Caenorhabditis elegans: one gene and its partner. The protein of the gene in region 1 purifies or fractionates together with the protein of each later gene. This does not show direct contact. Each region holds a gene or a part of one and is shown on either strand. Other genes may lie near its edges.

Region 1 (7,984 bases):
ACATTTTGCTCGCACCACCACCGGTCTTTGCAAGAATCTTAAAATCAATCTAGCTGTCGAGAATTTTCTGTTTTCTTCATCAACGCTTGAAATTTACATGTCTCATGTGGTGTAATCGATAAGGGTTTCAGTTCAAGTTTCAGTCGGCTTCCAAATTTTATATTCAACTGTAGTGTTAATATTTTTACCTTTACAGATGTCTGTAATTAATTCGATTTATCTAAGTAATGACATATTTTCTCGTTAGTAATTTTCTACGTCTAAAAATCGTCTGATTTTACTAAATTGATTTTTTAAAAAAACTATTAGCTCGTATCGAATGCACCACATCTGACGCCGTGTTTTGATAGAGATGACAGTATTCCGGCAACAATACTTTTACTATATTACTACTGTCTGTTTTCTTTATTCTGGACACATTCCTTTTGTGTGAGAAGGTGAGTGTTCGTGTAGGTCTACACAGAGACTAGACAATCAGACAGTATCGTCAAACATTTGTGTGTGTACGGGCGCCGCGGGTAATAGGAGCGCGCGCGCGCGAGTGTGAGAGACATGCAAGAGAGTAGAGACGCAGACAAATAGTGGTGTGCGCGCTTCGATTTCAAATACAAACATTCGGGACAGGATACCGTACTCCATTTCGACTTTCTTTTCGATTTCGATTCCACCCACCACAGACAACCATTTTGCCCCCTTCATTTTGATGATGTTTTGTTTACGCAGACACATCCTCCTCTTCTCGCCCAAACAACCAAACAATAGGCGTTAATGTATTCAATAACCTTGAAAGTTTGTACGTTTCCAGGAATATGAGTCATTTTTAAAAATAATTCTTATCAGTTTTGAGTCCTGCGTTTATATAATAAACGGCACGTCGAACATTGGAAATTGCTGTTGAAAAAGTCGATTTTTTTTGGTGAATTGCCACAAACAGTGAATCTTTTTTGTCAATTCCTATACAATGTAGACATGAACATAAGAATCAGAGAGAATCGAAAGGAAATATTTCTTATTAATTATCTGCTTTTCATTTTTACAATAGAATAGATTTTCTGAAAGTTTAATTCGAATTAAGAGAGCACATAACGAAACGAATATTCAAAATATTACTGAATACAATATGTTTCAACTGAAAGACCCTCAAAAAGGAAACGCTGGTCCCCAGATGAACAACACTCAGAGACGATGTTGGTGAGAAAGTGAGCAGGATCTGCTCCCACTGCTTTTGCTCATCGAACACCGCGAGTTTCCTCTACATTCTAAGTCTAACACTCTTACTATGTCCAATCGATGAAGAAAAGACGACCCCAAGAGGGAAAGACGGATTCTTTTGAGGTGTGTGTGGCTGTGTGTTGGAAGTGGGAGGGAGATGGATAGATAGTCGGAGGGATCAGACGCGAAAGTAATCTACGTCTCCGTATCCCTCGCCAGTTGAATAGCCGGTCACATCGGACATACGCGAGTGCGACCCGACGACAAAAGAGAAATAGAACAGCCTGAAGAGGTGTTAGAGAAATAGAGAAACGCGAAGAGGGGTTCGCATGAGAGACATAGAGAAGCTATGGTAGTAGAGAGACCCCCACTAGGGTCTGCTGCATCCCGTCTTCGTCCTCGTCCTCCTCTTCTCCTCTCTGTTCTGTTCTTTTTGCCTCGTCGCGTGTATGTATGCATTCAGCAGTCAGTCTGCATCTATCCATACTCTCAACCACAGCTGGGACACACTCAATCAAAAGTTACACTTGTTTTTCGCCTCTCCATCTACTTCTCGCTTTTCCCAGTCAAGTCTTGTTTTTCCTTCTGTTTTTCCACTTTTTTCCTTCCACGGACGTCGTCGTCATTCTCATTTCTCGTTTTGTCGATGTTGTTCGAGGCTTTATTCGGTCTAAATCCGATCGATATGTGATGGGTCAAGTGTCAGGTGCTCAGCGCCTTGTCGCCCCACAAAGAAAAAGACAAACCGTGTTGTCGCTGTCCGAGACATTTGTGCCGATTTTCTGTTCCTTTCGGCTACTATCGTCAGTCTGACGACCCAATTTTTTCTGGTCTCTGACACTTATTGTCATTATGAACACCTTTTAGATATCTTCAGTGAGGAAATTGTCGGAAAATTAATATAATTTCTATGGTTTTTCATTATTAATTTTTATAGTCAAATTTAGAAAACAAATCCTCGATAAAATTTATTTATTTATTTTTGATTCATCAAAAAAGAATTTTTAGCCTTGAAAAATGTTTAAAAACCAGTGAAGTTCTATTAATAAATTCTCTTGCTTCTTAAATTTTTTTTTTTAATTTTAAAAACTTTTTGTTAAAGATGTTAATTTTCTGTAGAAATTTTTATTTCACACAATAACCATTAGTTAAATTAAATTTATAACTGTTCCCCAAGTGGTTTTAAAAAATCAATAAAATGATTTCTTGACTATCGTAATCCTTCGTGACCCCTCTGTAGAGATTTTCTTGTGTTATGCAAGTACCCCATCGTAAATTTTCTTTTCTCGATACCCGAAGTATATCCGATCACATCTGTGTCTATGATGATACTGATTACTTTTCCATTTATATTTATCACCTTGACCGTTAATTTTCAATATTTAATTTTTCAATGACAATACAATGTTAATTTTTATAAGGTTATGTGGTAGAAAATGTTAGGCGAGGTTTAGAGAAAAATATAAAAGTTTATTAACTTTATTTCGCCCTTGGACGATTTTTTAAGCATCCAAATGACTCTTTTCATTTAAATTTTTATATTTTCCGATCCGTATATTATTTTCTTTTCAACTAATTTTATTAAAACATACGGCTATATGAAATAAAGCACTGGAACGCAGAAAGTTAGAGAGAAAAGGAGCAAAGCTTCCCCTTCTTGTTTGTATGTATGTGCTCCTTGTGTGCATGTGACATAGAAGAGCCGACGTCGCTGCGCCCCTGTGAGAATTCATGCATGCTTGGCACGATGCCAAGTTGTATGTGTCTATCTTCACCTCCTTTTTCTTCTTCTTCTCGATTGCTTCTCCCTCTCTTCCAAACGAGAACGTGATGTCGGTCTCTCCTACTGTAGGCTACTAGTTGTCTGTGTCTAATACTCTCTCATTGTCAAAGACTTCAAATCGGGAAGATTGTGATGGTGGTTTGGTGACGAGAGAGAGATAGAGAGAGAGAGAGAAAGACACTGACGATGTCGTCGTTATCAGTGTATTTCTTCTTCTTCCTTTTCTTCCATACACAATCTGTAATTCTCTGTCGTTCTCTCAATTTGATTATCACTATTAAATGTATATTCATTCATTCACGCCCATAACTTTTTTGACTTGACTGAATCGAAAATCGAATCGATGGCCGCTCCCCGATAATAAGAAGGAGAGAGAAAAGAGAGACGCTGCAAAAATTTTTTGTCTTTGAATGACCTCTATTCGTCGTATTGATTGACTGCTGCCGTTTGTCTTTTGTGACGAAATTTTGTACAGTTCCATTTTCTTTTATTTCAAAAATTGAGAGAAAAATATCTAATGCTCGGCGTTAAATTTTCAATGAAAAATTTGTTCACTCAAATTGGCCCGAAAAGTCCGAAATTCATAACGAAACTTTTCAATAATTCCTCAAACTTTTTTATAGCAGTTTTACCTAAAATTCTAAATTTTGAAGAATTAGCCTTTATGCAAAATTTTGAATGGCCATAAAAGATTTTTCAATGAATTTCTGAAGAGTTTCGTAATTTGATATTTGATATTTTCAAATGGATTTTTAGTGTATTTTATAAAGCAAAACATTCTTCAATTTATTTTGTTTTCCGAATCTAATATTTAAATATCTCTATGAAACTTTAATACTATTTTTGATACGCATTCAATTATAGATAATTGTTAAACGTTCTTTTTTCTCCGAAATTAGGTTATTTCTATTTGTTCTGTTTCTTTATTTGTCGCTCGGCCATAATAAATCAATAATTTACGGCAATATACCTCTAATCTCCCCTTTTCTGCGTAATTTTTACCGAATTTTTACAGCACATCACCATACAAATGAGCCACGCCTGACCTCTTGACCAGCTACAGTAACCCAAAAAAAATTATCGTAAGTTTTTTCGAATTTTTGTGGAAAATTTGTGAATTGTATTCTCAAATGGATAATTATTTTTACAGAGTCCCCCGAAATTGCTGAAAAATGAAGGAGATGGTAGGTGGATGCTGCGTTTGTGCAGATGAGAATGGTTGGACAGACAATCCATTGATCTATTGTGATGGAGAGAATTGTGAAGTTGCAGTACATCAGGGTGAGTAGAAGTTCACAGAAATTGAAAAATTTTAGTATTTTTCCCGATATTTCGAAAAAAAATCCAACGTTTCCAAGCATTGTTTGAAGTTTTGCTTTTTTCCATCTTATTAGATGAATTTGATTTTTTTTTTTCGATTTTCTCTCAAAAAACCAAATTTTCCGATTAGGCCCCACCGAATTTTTATCATTTCAGGATGTTATGGAATTCAAGAAGTACCCGAAGGCGAATGGTTTTGTGCAAAATGTACGAAAGCATCAGCTATGATGCCCGGCAGTATAAATGAGGCAACATTTTGTTGTCAATTGTGTCCGTTTGACTATGGAGCATTGAAAAAAACTGATCGAAACGGATGGGCTCATGTAATTTGTGCACTTTACATTCCAGAAGTGCGATTTGGGAACGTACATAGTATGGAACCAGTCATATTAAATGATGTACCAACTGATAAGTAAGTTTTTCTCAAGAATATGGGTAATTCAATATGAAAAATGTGTCTGATCAAGGGTGAATATTTTTTGAGTTTTCGACTTTCGATTTTTTGACTCTCTGGAAAATCTCAAATTTTAAAAATTTCCGGTACATTTCTGAACCGAAATTTTTTTTCCAGTTTTTCGATTTTTCGACTTTCAAAAAAAAAACAACAACAAAAAATCTAAACATTTTAAACTCTTTCTTTGAAAAAATCTTGAAGTTTTATTACTATCTCGATCAATTTATATATTTTATAGATTCAATAAACTGTGCTACATCTGCAATGAAGAACGTCCAAATGATGCGAAAAAAGGTGCATGTATGTCGTGTAACAAGTCGACGTGCAAGGTATTTTTATTTTTCTTTAAATTTCTTGTAATTTAAACGAAATTTTCAGAGGAGCTTTCACGTAACCTGTGCTCAGCGGAAAGGACTTTTATGTGAAGAAGGGGCAATAAGTCGGAATGTCAAGTATTGTGGTTATTGTGAAAATCATTTGAAGAAAGCGGTATGTTTATTGAAGATTTATGCGCTAAAAATTGAGAAAAAAGTATTAAAATCGATTTCTTAATATTTTAAGAAAATCAGGCCAGATTATCACTTGGTTTTTCATAGAAGTGAAAATAAAAATAGAACTACAGTACCCATCAATTTCAAATATTTAATCCCTAGTCATACTGGTGCTGTGAAGGTCCGATGCTTGATAGACCAGGTGGATAGACACCTGTCTCTTGAAAAACTAGAGATTGTACGGAGTATTAGAGATTCAGAGAAGTAAAAATATGAATACAATCGTGTGTGCCCGCTTCTTCTCTGCATCTCTTCTCAGGATACTCTATTTCTGAGTCACAGCATTGGGACCCTGGAATAGCAACACAGCCATTGCGCTTCACTCTTAGAGTGAAAGAGATAGAGATGGAGAAAGAGACGTCCTCCGTCCTGTTTTCATATCTGCGTCTAAAATCTCTTTATCCTGAGAAAAAGAAACCGAAAGAGAGGTTGAGAGAGAGAGGGAGACATTGTCGAAGGAGGTCCGCGTGCTTCCACATACACATACACACACCATCCATTCAACACAACACACTTGAGAAGATGGAATAGACGAGAGAAGAGAGTACAGACGTTTAGACGAAATGAAATGGGTTGGGCCAACGGCTGGCTGGATGGATGGCTGACTGAGTGTGACAACGACAAATAGTGCTCGGGGGGGGGGGGGGCACTGAGAGAGATAGACGAAGAACTCGGAGAGACATAGACACAAAAAGGAACAAATTGCTGTCGGGCCAAGCGAGTTTGGAAGAGAAAGAGACGTGCATAGAGTGTCTCTCTCTCTCTCAATTTCATAAGCTTAGATGATTCTCTGCGTCTGCTCTTCGCCGCCCCTTCTGGACTTCTTTTTCTCGGGTGGCCCCCGGCGGCCGTTGTTTCGTCTGCGCTTCTTATTTTCCTCTTTATCGTCATCGTCGTATTCCTCGCTTTGTCCTGCTTTTTCGTTTTCTCCGTCCGTACGCACACATACATACACACGCACATAGTGAGGCAACATCATTCTCTTGTGCTTCATTTGGTTCTTCTTCGACGAATACTCGATAGATTTGAATATAGTCGTCGCCACGTCATACTCTACATTTTCCTGCTACATCATCCTTGCATCTCCCCACTTTCTCACTTGTTACGGTTTTTGCTTAACTCTCTACGTCTCTACTCACTCTCTCACCTACTTTCCTCTTCTCGTTGTGTTTGATGTCACCTTTCTCATCGTCTTCCGTCAATGGAGTTTTTTTGTCGCCAAAGAGAGACATTCACTCATTTTCTCTTCCGTCTCCCTGAAGTAGTTCTATGTTCTTTTTTTTTTTTTTCTAGACTTTGTCATTTAACATTTTTGTTTTACATTTTGGTACATTCACAGAATTATTTCTAAATCTAAATTAAACTTTTGATCTTGAAAGTAGGCCTATCATATAGGCCTCACCGCCTGCCTGCCTCACCTTAAGACGATCTTCGCCTGTTTCCAACTAAGTTGAATGTCTTGATTGTTCTCGGGGGTTGTCAAATTTTTGATGTTATTCTAATTCACCTAATTTAAATTAAACGGTAACAAATATCATAAAACCCTTTAGTTTTTTTTGAAAAAGTCTAATAATCTTTATTAGTTCTTTTTACTAATGAGGACGCTGCAAATTTTTGTTTTTTTTTTCAAAATTCAGCACAAACTTTTCCAAAACACTGAGCAATGTTTTGTTCCGTCTCTTTTCAATATCTAAGTCTCCCTTTAGCTGGTCTCTACACTTCTCCGAATATCTTCAACTTCTAAGTCTATCAATCATGGGATCCTTCATTGTTGTCTTACTTCCGCGCACCTCTCAACCCGGTAGACATTTTTGTATCGTACTGATCAAATGCAGGCAAAGGAGGAGAAGTGGGCGCCCAGGCGCTGGGTCGACCGGCGGTGGCCATTGTCGTCGCGTCGTCGTTGATGTCCTTCGCAGGATCGTCGCCGATTCGATTCGTTTTCTCTCTCCACCTCCTCCTCCGCACAGGCACACACACACACACAAGTTTTCGTTTTTTCGGAGTGCTGGTAGTGGTTTTACTCGCTTCCTATCCTTCACTTGTTACCCCTGTCGCCTCTGTTGATTGCACTCCCTTCGTTTTTCCCGTTGCAATCATCCGATCGGAGGACTCTTCGATGTTTGTCTGCATGTCTGATCACTCTTCCGATCAAATGATGCCTTAGGCATCCTTGTCGTGTCGCCGCGCTCTCACTTGTTTCCACCCTCTTTCTATTGCCGTGTCGATTCGATGACTGGTGAATGATCGGTGTCCTCTGCCTGGCCCCGAGACGGCGATGCTGTGGCTGCGACTGCTGCTGTGTGTTTCTCATTTTTGTGACTGAAGGCTTTGTGTGTGTACGTGTCTCTACGCGCATAGATGTGTGTATGTCTCCAAAGCAGCAAAATGCTTAAGACTCTGCGTCTCTTTTGCGCAATCGAGACGAAGAAACCTTGGAGAATCAGACGACGATAAGGAATGAGGATATGAAGAGAGAAAGACAGTTAGAAGAAGAGAGAGTGACGTGCACAATGAGAGAAAGAGAGAAACATTCAATCAGCCTGTGGAGGGTGGCTGGTGGTCGGTCATACACTCTCATACGCATAGTCATTCACAACATTGGGCGCACGGTTTTGTTGGCTTGCTGCCAATAATAACTTTAGTGAAAGAGATGTAGAGAAG
Region 2 (7,869 bases), 6.2 Mb from region 1:
GCGTCGAAGACAACTGCATAATGCTCTAATGTCTTCCTGCAAACAGGATATTGCAATGGCGATTCGCGCAAGAATGACTGTTATTTAATAATTTTATTTTATGGGAAATTGCTTTAAAACATGCCTATGGTACAACAATAACCAAATATCATAGTAAAAAAATTCAAAAAATTATTTCAAATTTTTTAATGATTTTTTTTAATTGAAAAAATCTCAGTTTTTGACTTGACTTTCCTATTTGAATTTCCGCCAATATTTCATTTTTTTTTCTTAATTTTCACCGATTTTCTAAGTTTTCAGTGTATTTTTACAAGAAATTCGAAGAAAAAGTCAAAACAGATGCAAATTTTTGGTTTAAAAGCTACTTTAAAAGCGTAAATCCGTGAAATTAATCAATTCAGGTTCGAAATCGCATAAATGCGTTTTTTAAATTTTTTTTTTTTACCAAAAACTAGAAGATTTCTTCAAAAAATTGGGTTTTTTCCAATTTTATCACTTTTGGCGATAATTTTTTTAAAGAATCCTCAATAATTTTTTCCAAATTTTCTAGCTCTTTTACGTTCAAAAAATCAACTGAAAAAATTATGTTTTTTTTCTTAAAATTTTACTCGAAATTCTCATAATTTGCTAATTATTTTTCCTAAATTTCGCGCGAAAATCATCTGAAAATTGAATTAAAAATGCTTTTTAATCGAAAATTTAATTTATTTTGACTTTTTCTTCAAATTCCATGTAAAAATACACTGAAAACTTGGAAAATCGGTGAAAAATAAGGCAAAATAACAATAAATAAATAATAAAACGGAAATTCAAATCGGAATTTGGCAAAAACTGAGATTTTTTCAATTTAAAAAAAATCATATAAATTTTAGAAATTTTTTTTGAATTTTTTTATCATGATATTCGGTCATTGAGGCACTGGCGCTACACCACCTTTAATAAATACGACTTTTTTATTCATTTTTTTTCCTCAAAATTGAGCTTAAACCCACCCAAAATCCCCCCTAAAACTCCATTGGCTCATCGGCGGCTCTTTTTCTTTTCTCCGCATCGCCTAATTCTTCTTTTTCCTTCTTTCTCTTCTTATCCTTCTTCTTTTTCTTGTGTTTCTTCGGAAATCCTTTCTCCGTCTCATCATCATCAAATCCATATGCGTCGTATTGTTGCCGAACCCGTATTAAATTCAATTTCTCGCTGTACGCCAGATTTGGTTCCTCTTTTCGGCGCTCGAATAGGTGGCGATATCTGGAAAAATTTAATTTTAATTAATTAATCTTATTTTGTGGAATTTTTATCGATTTCGCGCAAAAAATGACAAAAAGAAGTTAAAAATGCCTCCCGTAAATCTACAAAATTAAAGGCGCATGGTCTCTTGCGCTGGTTGGGTCTCACAACGATCACTACAAAAATGCAAGAATTTGTCTGAAAAATAGCGGAAAAATTATTTAAAAGTTTAAAATGTTGGTGTTGACCTGTAAAATTGAATATTTAATCTTATTTTGTGGAATTTTCATCGATTTCGTGCAAAAATTGGACCAAAAACTATTAAAACCGTTGGGTCTCGCAGCGATTTCTACAAAAATAGGAGAATTAATTAAAAAATTTCGGACATTTGATTAAAACGTTCGAAATAGTGGCGATAAGCTTATTTTGTCGAAACTTCACCGTTTTCGTTCAAAAATTGGGCTAAAACTGTTAAAAAATTATTTCCGTAAATCTACAAAATTAAAGGCGCATGGTCTCTATTGATTGTTGAGTCTCGCAACGATCACTACAAAAATGCCAGAATTAATTCAAAAATTTGCGGAAATTGAATTAAAATGTTCGAAAGAGTGGCGCTGTGCTTATTCAGTTGAATTTCCACCGTTTTTGTGCAAAAATTGGCCTAAAACTATTTAAAATGCCACCAGTAAATCTACAAAAATTAAAGGTGCATGGTCCCTATCGTCCGTTGGGTCTCGCAGCGATTTCTACAAAAATGGGAGAAATGTTTAAAAATAGCGAAATTCCGCAATATTTTGCGGAAAACATCAAAATTAATGGGAAATTTCAATTTTAAATCAGAAAAATCTAGAACATCGTCGAATTTGCACCTTTCATCGACGGGCCCAGCAGAAAGCTTGAATCCCTGCATCGAAGAGCTCGTCAAATTCGAAATTTCCTTGTGAATCGGCGGTTTTTCGATGAGAGCTCGCAGTGAGCTCGCCTCTTTCGTCGCGTCCAAGTGAAATTCGCCGATTATATGCGGCAAAAACGAGGAGATTTTCTCCTTAACTCGTCTGCTACCACTGAATCCTCCCTCAACAGGCCCGAGCTCGTACGACATGAGAAGATCGTGATTTCCCTGAATTTCGCTGTACGCTGGAATAAAAAATTGGGTTTTGAGCAGATTTTTGAAGAAACTCACGTGGAAGTAGAGCTTTTAATGTGTAAAATGGCTCGTTTTTCGAGCTTTTGCTCTTTACGGGCGGCCCCGAGCAGGCCGATGGCTCGTTCATGCCTGAAATTGTAATTTTAAGCCGGGAGATTTTTAAAATTCAATTAATTTAATTGAAAGAGGGAAAATATTGAAAAAAAAGTGGGATTTTTCCAGCAAAATCCTAGAATTTGAGTGAAAAAGTAAGCTTTTTTTTGGTTTGAAGTTTGTTTTGAAACATTTTTGAGTCAATTTCGCCTAATTTTTGGGGTTTCAGCGGTAAAAAAAAACTTTTTTTTTCAGTTCTAAAGACTAAAAAAGTACAGATTTAGGCCTTTTTTTAAATTTTTTGTTTGAAACTAGATTCGAAACAAGTCATTTTTCGCAATATTCGGCTAATTTCAGTAGTTTCAGAGATTATAAGTCTGCAAAGTTGAAGATGACCACAGGGATTTCAAAAATATTCCAGAAAACTGGAATGTTTCTGGAAAAAAAAAATCGAAAAACTATATAAAAAGTGAAAAAAGGTCAGAAATTCGTTTTTTTTTTTAACTTTTCTTTTGCTTTAATTTGCGCGGGAATTCAAAAATAACTTGGAAAATGCAATATTTCGGAAAAAATTAGCCAGAAACATGAAAATTGGTGTAACGAACAAATTGTGGATAATTTTTGGTCAAAATAGTAAATTTTTAATAACAATAATTCATATTTTATCAACTTTATGCGAAAAATGTATCAAAAAACCAGATTCATCAACGATTTCTTTCAAAAAAACATTAAAAAACGTTTAAAATCGAGAAATTAAAATAAAAATAAAATAAATCCAAAAACGCGCAAAGGCTCCCCACTGACGCGTTTCCCCGATTTGCTTGCGCACTTTCCGTGGCCACTTTTATCCCTTTTTCTCTGTCCTTCTCTCTCCCTTTTCGGCAATATTTGGAGGTTTTGCGGGACGGAAATCTTTGCGCACACGGCAACTTATCGATTTTTCATTCTTTTCCGCCCAAAATTCTGCATCTCCGCCAACTTCTGCGGCTCCAATTTCCTTGAAACCTCGATTTTATTACGAAAATTTGAATTTTTACCCTTTTTCACATTTATCTTTCAGGGGTATCACAAGATGACCGACTCCAAATATTTCACCACCACAAAGAAAGGTATTTTTATATCGTTTTCAATGAATTTAACTCAAATTTCCAATTTTTATTGCAGGAGAAATATTCGAACTGAAAAATGAGCTCAACTCTGACAAAAAGGAGAAGAAAAAAGAGGCTGTGAAGAAGGTTATCGCCAGTATGACAGTCGGAAAAGACGTCAGCGCTCTATTTCCCGATGTGGTGAATTGTATGCAGACGGATAATGTTGAATTGAAGAAATTAGTCTATCTGTATTTGATGAATTACGCGAAATCGCAGCCTGATCTCGCGATTATGGCGGTTAACACGTTTGTTAAGGTAGGGGAGACAGCTTGAGAAGGTTCAAAAGTAGAAAATTGGCTCAAAAAGTTGTAAAAATTGCTCGAAAAGCTGAAAATTCGCTCAAAAAGCTGAAAATTTTGCTCAAACGCTGAAAATTTGCTCAAATGCTGAAAATTCGCTCCAAAAGCTGAAATTTTGCTTAAATATATAAGAAATTCGCCCAAAAGCTGCAAACACTCCCGCGCGAATTGTCTTTGTTTTTTCTCATTTAAAACTTGAAAATAAAATTATTTTAAATTTAAAAATACCATTATTATCCCAGACGTTTCAGATTTCCCGGCAAAATTCTCCGAATTTTCGTAAAACCGGGGAAAAATTATAAAAATGGCATTTTTCCGGGGAAAAGCAAGAACAAACCAGATTTTTTCAGCTTTTTTCGGTCGTTTTTCGGAAATTTTTAATAATTTTGCACTTTTTTCAGGACTGTGAAGATCCAAATCTTGAGAAAATAGTGGAAATTTTCCCCAAAAAGCTGTTAAATTTGCAGAGGAGCAACTTTTTATCACTTTTGAGAGGAAAATTACATTTTTTGCGGGTTTTTTCCTTCAGTTCATTTTTACTCAAAAAGCTGTTAAACTTGCTTAAAAACTGTAAAAATGCCCCGCGCGAATTTTTTTTTTGTTTTTTCTCGTTTAAAGCTTGAAAATAACATTTTTTAAATCAAAAATACCATAATTTTCCTCGAAAAATCATTAAAATGACAATTTTCCGGGAAAAAAACAGGAAAAAACCGATTTTTCAGCTTTTTTCGGTCATTTTTCGGAAATTTTCAATAATTTTCCTAATTTTTCAGGACTGTGAAGATCCGAATCCTCTAATCCGTGCACTTGCTGTCCGTACAATGGGATGTATTCGCGTTGAAAAGATCACCGAATACCTCTGTGATCCTCTCCGTCGATGTATGAAGGATGAGGATCCATACGTTCGAAAAACCGCCGCAGTCTGTGTTGCAAAGCTTCACGACATGAATCCGGCTCTTGTGAAGGAGCAGGGATTCGTTGAGTTGCTCAACGATCTACTCTCCGATGCCAATCCGATGGTTGTGGCGAATGCGGTTGCCGCGTTGACTGAAATGAATGAGCAACAGACTGTAATTGAAGTGAATAGTCAAATGGTTAATAAACTATTGACTGCGTTGAATGAGTGTACTGAATGGGGACAAGTATTCATTTTGGATGCTCTTGCAGGTAAAAATTCAGCAAAAAAGTGTTGAAAATCGTGGAAAAAAAGTGAAAAAATCGTAAAATTGAGCAATTTTTCACCTAAAAAACTTAAAAAAAGCTTTCAAGGTGTGTAGTCGAATTTTTTCAAATTGCCTTATTAGACTCAAAATTGTCTGAAAGCATCGAATTTTGTTAATGAAACTTCTCGATCGATTTTTTACACTTTAGAATTCCAGCTTCAAGAGATTAAAAAAAACCAGAAAACCTACATATAAATAAGATTTTTCGGTTTTCAAATTCTTTATCTGCCGATCCTGACGAATTTCGCATGAAAAAGCTAGAAAATTGTATTTTTTTTTCCTAGAAAACCCCAAATTTACAATAAAAACCTCTAATTTCAGATTTCAGAGGCGAAAACTCGAAATTGATATTCAAAATAGCTTCAAAACCGAGAAAAATCCAATAAAATAAATAATATAGTTCTGAAAAACGCTTTAATTTTAAAATTTCGAAGTAAAACATTTTTTTTCTTCCTAGAAAATTAGAAAAAATCTGCAAAAATTTAATTTTCTGATAGTTTTTTTTTTGAGAAAAATTGAAAATTTGCAGTTGGAAAAAAAAAGAAAATTGAAATCCAGAGAAAAATCTGAAAACAAATCGAAATTTTATAGTTTTTAACAGAAAAAAAATCGATTTTTTACACTTTAAAATTATAGCTTGAAGAGATTTCTAAAAAACGAGAAAATTCAATTATTAGCTTACATTTTCTATTAAATACAAAATTTAGATTTTTCGGTTTTCAAATTCTTTTGCTGCCGATCCTGACGAATTTCGCATGAAAAATCTTGAAAATTGTATTTTTTTTCTAAGAAAACCCCAAATTTGCAACAAAAACCGCTACTTTCGAATTTCAGCGGCGAAAAGTCTTTATTTTTCCGAAACTGATAGTGAAAATAGGTTTAAAAAGCACAGCAAAACGTTTTAATTTTGATATTTCAAAGTATTTCTATGACAAAAAATTCCAGAAACTTTATGAAAATTCTGATCTGATACTCAGTTTTAGTAATATAAGCCGGTTTTTTCCTCAAAAAACCAAAAGTTGAAAAAAAATTCCATTAAAAACTTAGACCTGAAAAATAAAAAATTCTAGAGAAATTTCTAATTTTTTGCTCAATTTGCAAAAAAAAAAACTCCAAAAAATCTTAAATTCCAGGCTACATATTTCCACCATTTTTTTTTGGTTTTTTCTCTCGAAATTCTAGTTCTTCATCATTTTTTCTATTATAGAGACGCAGAAAAATGCGTATTTTTGAAATTGATGTGTGCAAGTGCGCTCCACGGCCAACTGTTAGGTCTCGTTAGGCATTTGGCGGCAAAACGCTAAATTTTTTGTAAAATTCGGCTCAAACATCTGTAAAAACAATTTTTTCCAAAAAATGAAGAAAAATCTGCAAAAATTTCATTTTCTGATGGATTTTTGAGAAAAATCGCAAATTTATAATTTTTTTTTTCAGGAAAATTGAAAACTCCCGAGCTTCTACTAGGAAAAATCTAAATCGCGCTTGCATGAAAATTGTAGGAAATTTGCAAATTTTCGATTTTCCAAAAAATCCTAAATTTCAGGCTAAAACAATTTTTAAAAATGCAAATTAATTTCAAATAATCAAATTCTTTAAAAAAAATCGTTTTTTTTTTCGATATTTTTGGTTTTTAGCTTCGAAATTCCAGCCATTTTTGCTCAATTTTCCATAAAATCTTAAATTCCAAGTTGAAAAACTTGAAAAAAAAAGAATTAATTTAAAATAATTAAATTCTTTTAAAAAAATCGTTTTTTTTTCGATTTTTCCGATTTTTAACATTGAATTCCCGCCTTTTTGCTCAATTTTCCAAAAAAAAAATCTAAAATTCCAGGCTAAAAAAATTAAAAAATGCAAATTAATTTCAAAAAATAAAATTCGAGAAAAAACGTTTTTTTGTTAAATTTTTTTAAAAAGATTTTTCAAAATTTTTAACATCGAAACTCCCGCGTTTTTGCTCAATTTTCCATAAAATTTTTAAATTCAAGCTAAGAAAGTTAAAAAAAAGCGTTTTTTTTTGTTGATTTTTTCCGGCTTTTTTCCAAAAAAAAAAATCTAAAATTCCAGGCTACACCCCACGAGACGAACGTGAAACTCAAAACATTTGTGAGCGAATCTCTCCCCGTCTGGCTCACGCCAACGCCGCCGTCGTTCTCTCCACCGTAAAAGTGCTCATGAAGCTGATCGACATGATGCCAGCAGATTCGGACTTTATCACCCAACTCACGAAGAAGCTCGCACCACCAATGGTTACCCTGCTCTCGGCGGAGCCCGAAATTCAATATGTCGCACTGCGAAACATCAATTTGATCGTTCAAAAACGCCCCGACATTTTGAAACAAGAAATGAAGGTGTTCTTTGTGAAATATAATGATCCGATTTATGTGAAAATGGAGAAGCTGGATATTATGATTCGACTGGCTCAACAGAATAATATCGCTCAAGTGCTCAGTGAGCTCAAGGAATATGCCACCGAGGTTGATGTGGATTTTGTTCGGAAATCTGTTAGAGCAATTGGAAGATGTGCTATTAAAGTTGAAGCTAGTAGTGAGCGATGTGTTCAGACCCTGCTGGAGCTCATTCAGACAAAAGTCAACTATGTTGTACAAGAAGCCGTCGTTGTGATTAAGGATATCTTTAGAAAATATCCGAATAGATATGAGAGTATTATTTCTGCACTCTGTGAGAATCTGGACACGCTGGATGAGCCTGAAGCCCGGGCTTCAATGATTTGG

Evidence for each region.
Region 2: the proteins of zfp-1 (region 1) and apb-1 purify together in Caenorhabditis elegans (affinity purification with mass spectrometry, with the first as the bait; one study listed by BioGRID). This does not show direct contact.

What each region holds. Positions count from the first base shown.
Region 1 is NC_003281.10:8,794,388-8,802,371, forward strand, and holds the start of zfp-1 (Zinc finger protein zfp-1), read left to right. Parts: upstream 1-4,010; 5' UTR 4,011-4,077; intron 4,078-4,145; 5' UTR 4,146-4,167; coding exon 4,168-4,276; intron 4,277-4,471; coding exon 4,472-4,727; intron 4,728-5,007; coding exon 5,008-5,098; intron 5,099-5,145; exon of another isoform or gene 5,146-5,147; coding exon 5,148-5,258; intron 5,259-6,098; coding exon of another isoform or gene 6,099-6,314; intron 6,315-7,984. Other genes in the region: F54F2.6 (uncharacterized protein), read right to left, coding at 6,099-6,314. UniProt on the Caenorhabditis elegans protein: Recruits the histone methyltransferase dot-1.1 to chromatin to methylate 'Lys-79' of histone H3 and activate transcription. Recognizes and binds histone H3 methylated at 'Lys-4' (H3K4me) at the promoters of target genes.
Region 2 is NC_003281.10:2,592,690-2,600,558, reverse strand, and holds the start of apb-1 (AP complex subunit beta), read left to right. Parts: upstream 1-3,524; 5' UTR 3,525-3,536; coding exon 3,537-3,573; intron 3,574-3,628; coding exon 3,629-3,870; intron 3,871-4,687; coding exon 4,688-5,081; intron 5,082-7,201; coding exon 7,202-7,869. Other genes in the region: mdt-19 (Mediator of RNA polymerase II transcription subunit 19), read right to left, coding at 1,005-1,245, 2,094-2,361, 2,408-2,498.